Diceros bicornis minor: one gene and its partner. The protein of the gene in region 2 purifies or fractionates together with the protein of the main gene of each other region. This does not show direct contact. Links are inferred from orthologs where the notes say so. Each region holds a gene or a part of one and is shown on either strand. Other genes may lie near its edges.

What was found. Proteins that work in one complex are often made in the same cells at the same time.
Region 1: the proteins of RAD18 (region 2) and POLH purify together in Homo sapiens (affinity purification with western blotting; 7 studies listed by BioGRID, with this or other methods). This does not show direct contact. The link is inferred for Diceros bicornis minor from reciprocal best matches to the Homo sapiens genes RAD18 and POLH.

Annotation. Positions count from the first base shown.
Region 1 is NC_080753.1:22,200,870-22,208,261, reverse strand, and holds the start of POLH (DNA polymerase eta), read left to right. Parts: upstream 1-4,371; 5' UTR 4,372-4,812; intron 4,813-5,722; exon of another isoform or gene 5,723-6,797; 5' UTR 6,798-6,945; intron 6,946-7,392. Other genes in the region: XPO5 (exportin-5), read right to left, coding at 1-60, 1,375-1,447, 2,364-2,485, 4,129-4,233. UniProt on the Homo sapiens protein: DNA polymerase specifically involved in the DNA repair by translesion synthesis (TLS). Due to low processivity on both damaged and normal DNA, cooperates with the heterotetrameric (REV3L, REV7, POLD2 and POLD3) POLZ complex for complete bypass of DNA lesions.
Region 2 is NC_080741.1:71,256,027-71,263,971, forward strand, and holds the start of RAD18 (E3 ubiquitin-protein ligase RAD18), read left to right. Parts: upstream 1-4,942; 5' UTR 4,943-5,013; coding exon 5,014-5,064; intron 5,065-7,945. UniProt on the Homo sapiens protein: E3 ubiquitin-protein ligase involved in postreplication repair of UV-damaged DNA. Postreplication repair functions in gap-filling of a daughter strand on replication of damaged DNA.

The sequences.
Region 1 (7,392 bases), on a different chromosome or scaffold from region 2:
TACAATTCGAGACAGGACGTCTTTAATATGGTTCTCCTCTTCCAAAATGTTCAGTGTTCCCTGAAAAAGAACAAGAGATAAGTCTAAAATAAATAAAATTTAAAAAAAAAAAAAAAAAAGGGCCGGCCCTGTGGCTTGGTGGTTAAGTGCGCGCGCTCTGATGCTGGTGGCCCGGGTTCGGATCCCGGGCGCGCACCGAGGCACCACTTCTCCGGCTATCCTGAGGCCGAGTCCCACATACAGCAACTAAAAGGATGTGCAGCTATGACATACAACTATCTACTGGGGCTTTGGGGAGAAAAAAATAAATAAAATCTTTAAAAAAAAAAAAAAGAGATAAGTCTGAAAGACTGCATTCAAGGTAAAAACCTGGGCTGTAAAAGTGTACAAAACTCATCAGCAGGCCTGCTTTGAAACTAACCAAAATAAACAAACCTGTTCTCCATGTCTGAGTCACTTGTCCTGCATTCTCACTAATCATTCTGCCCACTTAAAGCTTAAGGGAGGGTTGCATCAGCTAATAAAATGGCTGTCACACAGAGCAAGGAGGACATCACTGCTCTCCTTTACAAACCGAAGAGACTCTCATATTGTTTCATTTTGTAAGAGGGTCGGGGGAGAAGTATAGAAATAAGGAGTACATGGAGAGGCTGATAAAATGAGAGTTAGGAGAAGCAACTGAAAACTTTACCAACAGTTCTACTATTAGAAGATACAGAAAGACTATTACTGGGACTCTCTTCCGAATTTTGATATCAAGATTAATAAATTATGACTTCTATCAAGTTTCCCCAGAACTAGCAAAATACAAATCCTAGCTAGCTATGTTAATTAATAATTTTAAAGGGATTTTTTTTTTTTCCAATAAAGGCACTAGACTTTGGGGATGAAAAGGGGTGAAAATTCCACTTTTCTTGCCCTTTGTAAAATAGAAAAAAAAGGCTGTGGATTTTAAACATGTTTAAAGTCATATTATAACTCCTGAAACAAATTCATTCTGCAATTTTTTATTGCTAGTATCATAGTTCATTTTGGAATAAAAGGAAACAAACAGCAAAGTGCCATCTAATTTAGATCTAAGAATCTTATTCATTTGCTGAACAAGTTTAATCTCCTCTGCCCTATGTTCATACTTTTAAAAACAGAAGTCAACACATAAGGGATTAATTAAACCTAGTAAGACAAATGTGATGAATTATGATTTCTAGTGATGGTGGTTCTTTTTACCTTGAAGGTTAACATTTAATATTATACAAAGCATGCTGTTTGACCTTTGTAGAATCAGTGAATTTTTACACAAATGCTACACTGAAGAAGTCACACCTTGTCTAAACTACCTTGGAAACACAAGTCTTCCAATCAACCATTCCTTACATTTGCAATCAGCTCCATGACACTGTTCTTCAGATAGACCTTCTCCAACCGAGACATGCTGTTCCACCGAAACCTGGTCAAAATGCATAAAGTCAACAGAACCACATTAGAAGTCTTCTCTTCATAAGAGACTAGCTTTGATTCCTGTGTTAGGTTATGCTGGTGATTTCATTAAGAAATTATACTTTTGACTTTGTACCCTTCGAAGAATGGACAAAATCAGTCCACATTTAACCAAAATGCTAAAATAACAGAAAAATTCTTGGGAAAGAGTTTTATATAGGCAGTGGTCTATTAACTGGAATCCACACAAGATTTGTGCACAGATTAGCTTTTCCCCTTGATTTTACTGACAAACTAAAATCAAATATATCTGGGACAACTGCAACAATGTAGTTGCTTTTTGGAAAATACCATCTTGATACCACTAACTCCCTTTCAGGCTGGCTTACAAGGTAATGGCACAATTCCAGAAAAACTGTGGCTAAGTCTTAAAAGCTGATTCTTCTGATAGGCACTGGGCATAGGAGACTCAAGTCAGGAAGGGTTTTCAGTTATTCTCATATAACCCTCCTTTGGATTTGCCCTTCAGAGAAGGCACACACTCAAACTTAAAAAAAAAAAACTTAAAGGCACAGTGATTAATCAGAGATTTATTTACCTAAACATTGCATTATTCTAATAACACTTTGAGTTGGCTGGTATACAGTAAGAGCTCAATAAAAGCTGGCTGAATAACTATCAGCTAATATTTGTAGAATGCTTAGTATTAGTACCACTCACTTTACATGGATGAAGAAACTGAAGAAGAGAAAGGTTAAATGCTGAATGAGAGCTCCCAAGAGGCTGTACTAACCTCTCGGGGACCATTCCTTTCTTCTTGGGGACTGCTCTTTTCTATTAACCCAAAGAGTATCTCTATGAGTTACATAAGAAACAAAGATTTGCTCTCTCACAGACTTCGGTGGTAATATCCAAAAGCTCCTTACTTGACAACGTGTTCCAGGATCTGAAGGCCAAAATGTCTGACGATGGCAATTTGTGTTTTCTCAGCCAACCTCAAGCCACAGGGGACACAGATAGGGCACTTTTCTTTAAACTCCTCACAAAACTGAAAGAAGAAAAGTTAGCATTTCTCTTAGGAGCCAAGACAGTAGGGACTAAAAAATCTTCATCTTAAGAAACTCTAACCTGAACTATATATAAATATATATATATATATTTTTTTTTTCCTGAGGAAGATTCACCCTGAGCTAACATCCACGCCAATCTTCCTCTATTTTTTAGTATGTGGGCTGCCAGCACAGCATGGCTGCTCACAGAGCGGTATAGGTCTGCACCCTCACAGAGCGGTATAGGTCTGCACCCAGGAACTGAACCTGGGCCACTGAAACAGAGGACACTGAACTGAACCACTCGGCCACTGGGGTGGGCCCTGAGCTTTATTTTTAAGTTGCAAAATCTAGATCAATATTATATGAGTAAAGAACCAATAAACATTCCTTTCCTTTGGATAGTTCCAGATTTTCCATGCTATGTCCAACTAATGTTGAAAAACATTCTTGACCTAAATGAGTAAAAAATTATTTGTTAGATGTGATACACCTGCGAAGTACATAGGGGTGACATGACAATTCCTAGCATTTGCTTTAAAAACCTTTGGTGGAGGGGAAGAGAGAAAGCAAATGTGGCGAAATCTTTATAACTGCTGAGTTTAGGGGATAGGTATATACAAGATCACTGTAGTATTCTACTTTTGTGTCTATTTTCAGTATTTCATAGCAAAAAACAAACTAATAGAACCCAATTGTTTCTGATTCCAAATCCTGTGGCATACATCTAAATACCGAAACGTTTCCTCCAAGTGATGCTCACTTTACTTTATGAAGTTACATCAGTTAAAACAGGCATAGCACAAGTGTTTTTTCCGAGTAGTCATTTCTCAAAGCCCACATACAGAGTTTGATGCGGGAATAAGTTTGTACTCTACTAGTATCCCCATTTGTATTAGCATTCCCAAATTGCAACACGAGAGTCAGTCCCAGGAGCTGAGCATCCGGGACTCAAGAAAACTACTTTCAGGAAACCAAAGCGCCCTTGTTAAAATGCAAAGTAAGTGGTGGAAGTTCATCTTTGCGAAAAATAGCCTAAGAATAACCCAGACTAAAAAACATGGGGGAAGGGGGTGTGAGAATTAGCCCAGAGATACCCAAGACACAGAAAAGGGTTGGCAAGAAGTGTAAGGATGTAAGTAAAGGGGTGCTAGGGGGGCTGGAGCTCGATTAGGACGGGTCAGGAGAGTGGGTCAGCAAGGAAACGTTTAGCGCAGAGGAGATCATAAAGAATGTAGCTGGTGTTGGGGACGGGATGGGCACGTGCGCCACGGGAAGGCGAGGGGACGCGGGGATGCGGGGCTTGAGGGAATGAAATGGGTGCAGACGGCTCTGGAGAGGGTCGTGGTGCGGACAAAAGTGAACGGAAGTGAGGAAGGGGGAGGAGAGGGCAGTGGGAAGTGATCGTGAGATGAGAAGCAGCTAGGGACCGGAGTGTCCCGGGAGAAGGGGAGGCGCGGCGAGCAGAGAAGGCGGGGATGGGAAGAGGCGCAGAGGGCGGCGAGGCGGAGGCCCCCCGGGGTTGGGGAGGGAGGTCCAGAGGCCTCGTGGCCCGGAGACGACCAGGGTTATGGGCGGCGCCGGGACGCCTGGGGCTGGGCGAGGGTCTCGGGGCAGGCCCAGGTCGCCAGACCCCAGCTACCTTGAGGGCTTCCAGCCGGTAGCGCTGGGTGGAGCTGGGGTCCATCATGACCGTCACCGCTTTCACGAGCTGCTCGCACAGCGCGTTCACTTGATCCATCGCCATGGCTAGTGACTCGTGCCGCAAGCGCCCACCACAGCCGTCCCAGGAGCACGAGGGACGGACGGCTCCCTTGGCGGGACCCACGCTGGTACCGGGCCGCGGCGGGCTGAGGGGTGGGGAGCGGGAGGAGGAGCGTGAGCGGCAGAAGCTCCACGGGGAAGGAGCCGGCGCTGCGCACGCGCCCGACTCGCCACTGCGCACGCGCCCGCGGAAGTGGGGGCTCTCTGGTACGGTTACTCCTCGGTGGGCGGGGCGGGAGACGGAAGGGCCGCGGTGCGCAGGCGCGTCAACGGCCCTTCGCGGCGCGCGCGCAGTTCGATCCCTGTCAGGCGGGCTGGCAGCTGGGTGCCCCGCCCTGGGCTGGACCCACCCGGCTGTGCGGCGCCTGCCCGAGCACTGATCCTTTGCGACCCTTGGTCCGTTCCTCCGTCGTTACGGGGAATAAATCTCACTCGAAACCAGAAACTGGCCCGCTCCTGGAAAGGGGTCAGATATTGCAGATCCCTTCGTCTTCCAGTGGACCCCCAGCCCATCATCGGCGGCGTCCGCGGTTGGCAGTTTTGCCCGGCGTTCGTCACCTTGGTAAGAGAATTTAGAACCGTTCGGTATCACTGTTTTCAGACTTTGCATGTTGCCTTGGCTGTTGGTTTTATGATATAGCAGTGGCCAGTGACAACGTTGGGCCGGAATTACATGAATTAGAAATACATGCTCACTGAGAGATAAGCCCTGGTATTATCCTCTAAGAGCATTTTTCTTGTGGAAACTATATTTTTTCCGTAGCTCTTCACTTGTACTGCTTTTCCTTGGATGTGTTATTACCTGATCAGCACCAAACTTGTTTTGTACTGATTGGTATAAATGGCGATATTTAAAGATGAAGCCGGTCCGGTGGCGCAGCGGTTAAGTTCGCGCGCTCCACTTCCGCGGCCCGGAGTTCCCAGGTTCCGATCCCGGGCGTGGCCCGACGCATTGCTTGTCAGGCCATGCTGTGGCAGGCGTCCCACATATAAAGTACAGGAAGATGGGCACGGATGTTAGCCCAGGGCCAATCTTCCTCAGCAAACAGAGGAGGATTGGCATCAGGTGTTTGCTCAGGGCTAATCTTCCACACAAAAAAATAAAGATAAATTATTGAAGGTTTGTGCAGTTTTGATCACTTGAAATGCTGTATATAAGACTTCAAAGTAGTGTAATCCTTCCGAAAGGAGGGTTTTTACAGAGAGTGTTTCATTTTCCAGCAAGCTCTTGCTTTAAAAAGCTCTTGCTTTCTCCAGCAAAATACCTAAACTGAAAACTTCAACAGCCTTATTATCTGTTAAAGTCTGCATATGGGTTTTTGTGTTTGTATATTCAGTAAAATGTTCGCTGGACTTAAATCACTGCTTTCTATTCATACTCCACCGTCTGCTATTTGTATCTAATATGGAACTTACCTGGGTTTTTTGTGAAAATGCATTTATTATTTTTATTCTGGCATTATGTATTCCAGTACTACACAAAAGCCACTGCAAAGTAAAGTGATTTCTGACATGTTATGGTTTTAACTTATAAATGTTTAAAGTATCACATTCTGCCTGTTTTAGGTGAGTGGAATTTATAAGGAATCAATGCTTTGACTACTCTGATTTTTTTAATTTATTGTTTTCTTTCCACTAATCTTCCAACTTGTAGTTGCATGCCACTTTTTTCAAGGTGAATGGTAGTTTTTGACACTTTTTTAGAATACAGTTGAGTACTTACTCAACTGTATAACCTGTGTTTCTCGTATTTAAATCATGAATTACTGGTGTTTCCATAAGTATCTTATTTACTTTAGGTCAGTGGTTCCCAATCTCTACTGCATATTAAAACTGCCTAGAGAGCTTTTAAAAATCACAGTGCCCAGGTCACACCCATACCAATTAAATTAGGATGTCTGGTGGTAGAAGCCAGATATCAATATTATTTAAATGTTACTAGGTGATTCCAATTTGGAACAAAGTTTGGGAGCCACTGCTTTAGTTTACATTCCTTCTTTCAGATCTCTAACAATGTTAAATGATAACATTGGTCTCTATCCACTGTCAAGTATATAAGGTTTGTTCTTGCAGTCTACCATCCATACCTTTATGTATGTCTACCCATGAATAGTGTGTAAGTATTGTTTTCTTTTATCTTGAAAAATTGATGTGAATGGGTAGAAAATCACCATTAGAACACTATAAAGTAATTGTTATAGGTAAGATCCACTGATGGGTGCTTAGTGGTTGAAAGTTTGAGGAGAAACAGGATATTTGCATAGTCTCAAAATATCTCCCCTAAGATATCAGTTACAAAAGGAAAAGTAGTAACTTTACAGTGAGAAACCTGGCAAACGCTATCTCAACGAAATGATCATGGTTAACATCACCAGTAATAAGACATATTGACATCTTGTACCTCCCAATGTGATACACTGAGAGGAGCACATCACTTTCATAATATTCTTGCTGAAAATGCGTAACTTCAATCTAATCAAGAGAAAACATCAGACAAACCTAAATTGAGAGACAGTCTCACAGTAACTGACTAGTTCTCTTCAAAAGCGTCAAGGTCATGAAAAACAAGGGAAGACTGAGGAAGTGTCACAGATTGGAGACCACTAAGGAGACTTGATGACTAAGATTGGATCCTAGATTGGATCCTGAAACACAAAAAAGACATTAGTGGAATAACCGGTGAAATTCAAGCAAAGTATGTAGTTGAATATTATACCAATATTCATTTTTGTTTGTTTGTTTTTATTTTTTATTTTTATTTTTTGTTTATTGCGGTAACATTGGTTTATAACATTGTATAAATTTCAGGTGTACATCATTATACTTCTGTTTCTGCATGGATTACATCATGTTCTCATGTTCACCACCCAATATTCATTTTTTAGTTTTGATAATTGTGCTATATAAAATGTTAACATTAGGGGCAACTGGGTGTAGGAGAACCCTACTGTTTTTGCAACTTTTCTATAAGTCTAAAATTATTTCAAAATAAAAACTTAAAAAAATTCACATGAATGCTATGAGGTTATATAACATTTTCTGCTTCTCTTTTCTCTGAACTTATACTTGAGATTTGTCTATCAACTAGATTAACTGTTGGCTTTATCCCTCTATTGACGTGCATTGTGGTTTTAATTTGCAT
Region 2 (7,945 bases):
GTTTTGGACAACTTCCTTGTTTGGGGGCACAATACAATGCTCCAGGCTCATCCTGCACCTACTCTGCCCCAGACCTAAAATCAGCCATGTCCCCAAAGAGCCCTGAATCTTTTTCTTGGGTACAGCATTTGGAGACCACAATCCATGCACTAGTAAGCGGAGGAGCTGAGATGTGAACCCAGGCAGTCTGACTTCAGAGCTGGTGCTCTTACCCTCTATGCCCTCTGTCTCCGGTTAATAATGCGTATTAGTGACAGTAACAGTAATAATTATAACTGTTACTCCTACTGCCATAGCCAGCTGCTCACTATGTGTCAGATGCCCTGCAAGGTGCTTCCCAACATTTTAAAAGCATTATCATTATAACAACCCTCTGGGGTAGGTGTTATTATTCTAATCTTTCAGAAGAGGACATCGAGGCTCTGAAAGGTAAGTGACTGACCCAAGATCACACGGTGAGCGGAAGAACATGGATGCAAACCGAGGTCTGTGTGACTCTCAAGCCTGTCCCCTTAGTCAATATAGACCATGTTGGTTAGTGAGAATTCTGTCTTTGGTGATTTCCACCTTGTCTCCTTTCCACAGTTCCTTGCTTTCTCCCTTAGCCCCAGATACTCCCTGTGTCCCAGGGCCCCAGAGCTCTGGGGCCAGACATTCATTTGGTATTTTTCCAGGTGATCCACCCAGTGAGCATTTGTTGGGCCCCTACTACATTCAGAGCTGTGCTAGGGCACGGGTGGTCTAATTGGGAAGACGAAATCATTACATATAGTGTGTTTCTGCTGTAACATAAGAGGGGTACTCTGCTTTAGCACCCCTAGAGAAACATTCAACTCTCCCAGGGGGATCCGGGAATCCAAACAGCCTTTGAAAACCAAAGAACTGGAGCTTAAATTGTGGTGGGGGGGAGCGGGGGGTTTCCAGACACCATGACAGATGGTGGAGGTTTTCTGGCCGAGGACTCAGCTACACACTCTTCAATTCGTTCCAGGTAGATGGCTGCCTGCTTGTAAGGAGGAATGGCTGGGAGCCTACAGAGACAGGGAGAGTTGCATAAGAGTTGCTCTTCACAGGAAGGGTTGTCCTGTCCCCGGCACCCATCAAGTTCAGCAGAAGACTGGAAGCAGACTGTAGATAAGTCCTGGGATCAAAGAGAGCAGGAGAAGATTGCTATGGGGGAGAGGAGGGACCGCGGGACTGGGGCTCCAGCCCTTCTGTATCTGGGGCCTCCAAAGCCAGGCTCCGGACAGGCAGAAGACTGCTGCGGAGGGTCACTGTAGCAGTTAGTCATTGTTGTGTAATAACCATCCCCAAACTTAGTGGCTTAAGATAATCAACATTTATTATTTACCAGATCCTGTGGGTATGTTGAGCAGTTTTCTGGTCAGGGCTGGCTGAGCTGATCTCTGTGGTAAGCAGGTGGCTTGGCTGGGGCTGGATGATCTAGGACGGCCTCACTCACGTCTTGTAGGTGGCCCAATGTCAGCTGGGGTGACAAAGATGGCTTGGCCACCTGTCTCTCATCATCCAGGAGGATCGTTAGGGTTTGTTCACATGGTGGTGGTTAGAAGGCTCCCAAGAGCAGCAAGGAGAGGGCCAGCTCCAGTGCACAGGTACTTCACAAGCCTCTGCTTGCCTCACCTTTGTTAATGTCGCACTGGCTAAAGCAAGTCACATGACCAAGCCCCCAGATTCGAGGAGCAGAGAAACAGATCCACTTCTTGGAAGGAGTCATACTGTGAAGAGGTGTAGATATGGGAAGGAGAGGAATTTGCAACCATTTTTGCAATCTGCGTGTTTATAGGCATCCATTCCCTCTTTGACTATACAGCACCCCTGTGTTCATTTGGGGCATCCACTCCTACCCCCAAACTCAGACCTAGACAATCAGAGGCACAATGATTGGTTCAAGGATGGGCATGTGACCCAATTCTGGCCAATGAGATTCAGTCCTGGGACTTTTGCTGGGGACTGTTGGGAATGACGTGCTTTCTTTCTGCTGAAGCAGTTGTGCTAGTAGAATATAGGCCTGGAGCATCTGGAGGCCATGCTTGCCACCACATGGGAGGAGTCTGCCTGAGCAATAAGCCAACACTGAGGAAAACAGATATAAGGCATTAAGAAAGACAGATTGAGAGGAAGGAAAAGAGCCCAATCTGATGACACCCGGATCAAGCCACACCTGAATACTTACTCCTGGACTTTTCAGTTACATGAGCTAATATATTCCCTTTTTTGATTAGGCCATTTTGAGTTGGCAATCTAACTCAATACTTGTAACCAAAAGAATCCTGACTAATACAGCTCCCTCTCTTAAAAGTTCTTCCTCTCTGATCTCAAAGCTCTTCCCATTTGTAGATCGTGATTTGGGCAGATATTGTTTGTTTAATTTACTGCTTGTCCCCCTTGCCTGGGCATATAGTGAGTTCTCTGTAAACACTTATTGCAAGTATCAATAGGAGGAGTTGGGACACCTCCTAAGAGGATGCTGTGGTGACAGGCAGGTAACCAGTCTCAGGGAGAAGCTCCCAGAGCTGCTGGTCTAACAGGCAGGTGAGCAGGTGATGGACACAGTCCGTCAATGTAAACTATGCCTCCTGGCCCTAGGGCTGGGCTCCAAGGTGGAAGGGACTGGTGAGAACAAGGCAGGTCCACGTCTAGGAGGATCAGGATGGGGCCTGGTCACAGGGACAAAGCAAGGCCTTACTGTGAGTCCACAGCAAGCACGGGGCCCACAGCACTTCCACCTCTCCTGACTGCCGCCACCCTGGTCCAACCCCTTGTCACCACCTCCTGATTGGTACTTCTGCTCTTTCCCCCTAAAACCCCTTCTTCACTCAGCAGCTAGAGTGACCTTTTGAGAATGTAAATCAGATCATGTTACCTCCCTGCCTGAAACCCTCCAGGGGCTTCCTCCTGTGCTTAGAGCAACATAGCAACAACAACAGCTGACACTTACACGGTGCTCCTTAGGTGCCAGGCACTGTTCTAGGCACTTGACTTACAATAGCTCATTTAATTCTCACAACATCCCTATAACACAAGTACTATTATCATCATCCCCATTTTACAGATGAGAAAACTGAGGCACAGAAAGGTTCAATAGCTGGCCTGAGAGTTAACATGGATTAAAATCCAAACTCTTTACCAAGGTCTAGAACTTTCCACCCTAGGTCTTTGCATGGTGGCCTCTATCTTATCAGTTAGGTCCTAGAACAAATGTCACCTTCTCAGAGAGGACTTTGCAGATCATCCATTTTATAGTGTCGTCCCACTTTGGTAAGTCCAAATCCTTCCTTTTCCTCTCACCAGCAAAGTGCCCTATGTAAGTTTCCTGTTTCCTTCCCTTTTCCCATTTGGTTGGAGTGAATCTGAAGTAAGTGTATATGTGTAAAAACACCTATAACAGTGCTTTGCATACAAGTGTCTAACAAATGTCAGCTATTGTTTTAATGGATATTAAAGTCCTTTGTCCAAATGCTGCTAAGATTATTATTATTGCCCACTGAGTATTTGGGCACAGGCTGGGAAAAATCAGTAGAGTACAGCTCTGGCTCAGAGGCCAGAGGTTCCTTATGATGACAGCCCAAAGGATGGAAGACTTAACCTCTCTGAGCCTCAGTGTCCTTGTCTGTAAAATGGCAATAATAACCTTACCTCTGCCGACTTCACAGGGAAGCTCGAGTGCCTGCCCAATGGAAGCACTTAGAAAAATATTTGTTGAATGAATGAGTGCATGGACCACATGAGGGGGCAGTGGCAAGCTGCAGGGGTCTGCCCTGAGCAACATGACTGCTGACTTGCTGCCCATGAGACCTGATGCAATGGAGGCCCACCTAGGGCAGTGGACGAGTGCTGAATTGAGCAGACACGCTGGGTGGTGCGCTGGTCAGTGCTTCACATTTGGACAATGGGCACTCTTGGTAAGAACGTAAATGTATTGGTATGGCCTTTTTGGAAAAATCATGTAGTGCTAGCTATCACAGTTTTAATAGAGCATCCAAATATACTTAGTAGTTCCATTTATAGGAAATCATCTCCCAGATATCCAGGCTCAAGTATGCCAAGATTTATATAGTGTGTTCAATGCAACTCTTTGCAATAGTGAAAAACTGAAAACAACCTAAATGTTCCTCAGTACGGGAGTAGATAAAGAAATTGTGTTACATCTATACTATGGACCATGCAGCTATTAAAAAGAATGAGGTAAACCTATATGTATTAACATGGAGAGGTCTCAAGATGTACGATTAAATAAACAGAAAAACTCAAGTTGATAGAGCTATGCATTTAATATAATAACATTTGTGGAAAAAATCGTATCTATGTATCTGAATAGGAAATATCTGGAAGGCTACACAAAGTTAAGGTGGTTATCTCTAACCACCTTACCTTTAACCTTTGAAGTTAAAATTTTAAATTCATAAAAGAGCTCCCATATGAAGTCTCGAGGCCCTATTTGTAGTCTGGTCAGTGACACCGCGTGACGCAATGACAGCCTATTCGCGTTTTTGAGCCGAAGCTTCCTCCTGTGTAAACTAACAATAATACCTACCTCCTCGTGCTGTGATGGGTGAGATGAAATAACATGTATGAAATCCCCTGCTCAGGGCAAGGATAGATCACTAGAGCAATCAGGGAGGGTGACTCGAAGAAGGAGGCATGAGTCTAGACTTTGAAAGATTTGGCAAGGCCTGGATTTAGTTTGATTCCCGGTTGTCTTTTCCAATATTCAACAGGCATTTATTTATTAAAGGTCTGGTACAAAACCGGATGTGGGCTTTTTAACTACTCACCTCCTGTCGCAAGCTGCCAAGCAGCAGCCTAGCGCGTGCGCAGTGAGAGCATCTTTGGCTGAGCTCCGCCCACGTACTACAACTCCCGGCAGGCTCTGCGCACGGTTTTGGCGCGTCGCGGAATACTGACGTAGCTCAGTAGCGCGGGGAATTTCGAGTGGCAGTGGAGCGCGAGAGGCCAGTGGTTGGCGGACCCCCAGCCTCCGTAGGAGAGACCATGGACTCCGTAGTTGAGCCTCGGTGGCCTCCAGGCCTGGCAGTCATGAAAGTGAGTGCTTCGGGGAGGTTGGGGGCGCCCGGGTGTCCGCGGGAGGCCTGCCCCGCCTTGAGGAGGAGAAGGGAGGAGGCGCGAGCAGGGAGCTGGGCCAGGGTACCCGGCTCTGCTCTGCCGCTTGCCGACTGCGTGGCTCTGCGCCTCAGTTTCCTCCCCTGAGAAGTAACAGGGACAGGCCTCGGTCCCTTACGTGAGTTGAAGTTGGCCGTCGTATGGAACCGGGTATTCTGCGGTTCAGCCACAACCATAACACTGACCTCGAGAAAAACAGTTATTCTCAACAATGAGAACGACAATGACAACTAATCCTTCCTGAGGGCTTGCTATCTGCTAAGCATTATGTAAACTCTCGTAGTATGTTGGTTGAGATTTCCCAAAGTGACACCAGACGTGATTTTGGGTGGACCCTGCATCAAATAACATTTATTTAATCACTTAGCGAAGCAGGTAGTCTCCTTTACATTCTCTTTGGTTTCTTCTAATTAGACTCTGGAAGCCTAGCGCTGGTTTGTCCTAACTCCTCCCTAATGTGTCCTAACTCCTAACAGTTGTGCATCTCTCTTTTAAACAAAGAGATCAGGACTCAGGCTCAGCACTAGCCTTTCATTTCATTGAATTATTTCACTTAAATAACACATTTTTGTGGCTACTTTGTTTTTAGCAAGGCATATCAGTTTCCATTTATATTAGTGGTGATCCCTGGATTCCTGCTAGGTTTAGTCAAGAGCGAATACACTTTGCTGTGTTACCTAAGAATCAGTTGCTTGGTTTTGCTCCCTGCTCTGTGATTATTTCAGTTTGTGGCTGTGGGCAAGATCGAGTTCTCGTTTTGTTCGTCAGTTTTGTAAACTTGGGGATTATGGTATCTGTCCCACAGACTCGTAAGGCTGATTTTGAGAGTCAAGTAAGGGGACTTGAGAGAAGTTAAAGTAAGTATAAGGCCTTGTTCGTCCTGCTGTCATCAGTGTCATCTACAGTGCTTGGGGCCTTGAGATATCCCCATGGTGAAAAGCTGACATTGTGGAAGGATCCACGAAAGCTGTAGTTTTGAAGTTGTGGTGGCCTTGGCACCAAGCTGCAATGGAGAAGAGCATAGATTTGAGTTTCAGTGCTCCTGAGTTAAATCTGGTCTCTGCCTCTTATTTACCGTGTGATGGTGAGTTACTTACTTAACCTCTCTGAGCTTGAATTTCCTCAACTCTAAATCTGAGACAAAAATAAACAGTTTATAGGATTGGTTAAATGAATTGATGTATCTGGATAGGGATCCTGTTTGGCTTTTTTCATTGTGCGTAACTGAGTGCCTGGCACATAGTGGATGCTCAGAAATTGTTTGCTAATTGATTCAAGGTGTCTGGAAGGTAGTAAGCATTCAATTATATATCTTTATTATTGTTATTAGCCCTTAACGTGTTAAGTGTTTCCCCCCTCCTTTGTATTTCTTGTTATGAAGAGTGAATTGGATAAAGGAAGTGAAAGCTCTGTAACTTGTAAAGCACTTGCTTTGTAGATTTAAGCATATTTTACATATTTATATATTCCACATGTTTTTTAGAGGCACGTTCCACGTCTCCTCTGGTTTTGGTATCTCACCACAGCACTTAATACAGGGACAGCACCAGAGAGTGTTCAGTGATGGAGTTGATTGAGCCCATATTAGAATCATGGTATCTTAAGGTTGGAAAGCCAGCTCCCTCCAGTATTTTAATCCCTTTTATAGCATATCTGCCAATTTCTCATCTAGCTTTTGCTTGAACTCTTCCAGGGACGAAGAACTACCTGCTCCCAGAAGTAGCTCTGTTTGAAGTTCTTTCTTATGTTGAATAGAAATCTGACTCCTGAATCCTTGGTTCCAGACCTAGGATCCATGGAAAGACTTTGGTATCTGGAATTATTTATAAAATTTTTGTCTATGTGTATGTTTTTCTGAGAAGAGAGTCCATAGTTTTCATCCATTTTTCAAAAGGATCTGTGACCCAAAAAACTTAAGAACCTTTGCTCTAATTATTTAGTCTTTTCACCCGTTCCCCACTTCCCCTTTTTACTTTGTCTCTCTAAGTTAAAGAAATCCTGGGCAATCCACTTGACCGCTCTCTATTCAGGCTATTTTTTTTTTTTTTGGTTGAGGCACACGTGGTATGCATGTTACTGGCTTGAAATGGCATGACTAGAAATTTATACAGGCTTGTTACAACTCATTTGATGCGGTGTCACCTTCCACAAATTTCGCTCAGCAGATCTATCAGAGCCACTCCTCTGGAAGAGGATGGTTATGTAGAAGCAAGTTGAACAGAGTTGAGGCCAGGGCTCTGGCTTCCAGCCCTGCCTCTGCTCTTAACTGGTCTTCAACACAATCCAGCTTTTTGTGTCAGTGCTGGCTTACCATCCAAAATAATGGAAGATTTTGGCATTTTAATGTTTATTTCTCTAGTTTTATTGTAACAAAAATTTCTATTTTTGACAGATTATAAATGTAGCATGTGTGTATAGTAGAAAAACATAAAAATTCAGAATAAGATAAAGGGGAAAATGAAAATTACCCATCATCCTACCATCCAGAGATAACCACTGTTTAACGTTTTCTATTTTCCTTTAGTTTTTCTTGTGTGTGCCTTGTGCACACACATACCTGCAATGTGTATATGCATTTAAAATTTGGGGTCACTTTGGAGTCAATTTCTTGAGTTTGATCCAGCCACTTATAAGCTCTGTAGACTTCATCTATAAAACTGGGATACAGATGCTATAGACTTCCTAAGATTGTTATGAGATTAAACTATATAGTTCTATTATTATGCATTATTGTCGTAGATTTGTTCTCTGATTTTTTAAAGTTTCCTTTAAAACATAAACATTTTCCCATGGCATTAATTGT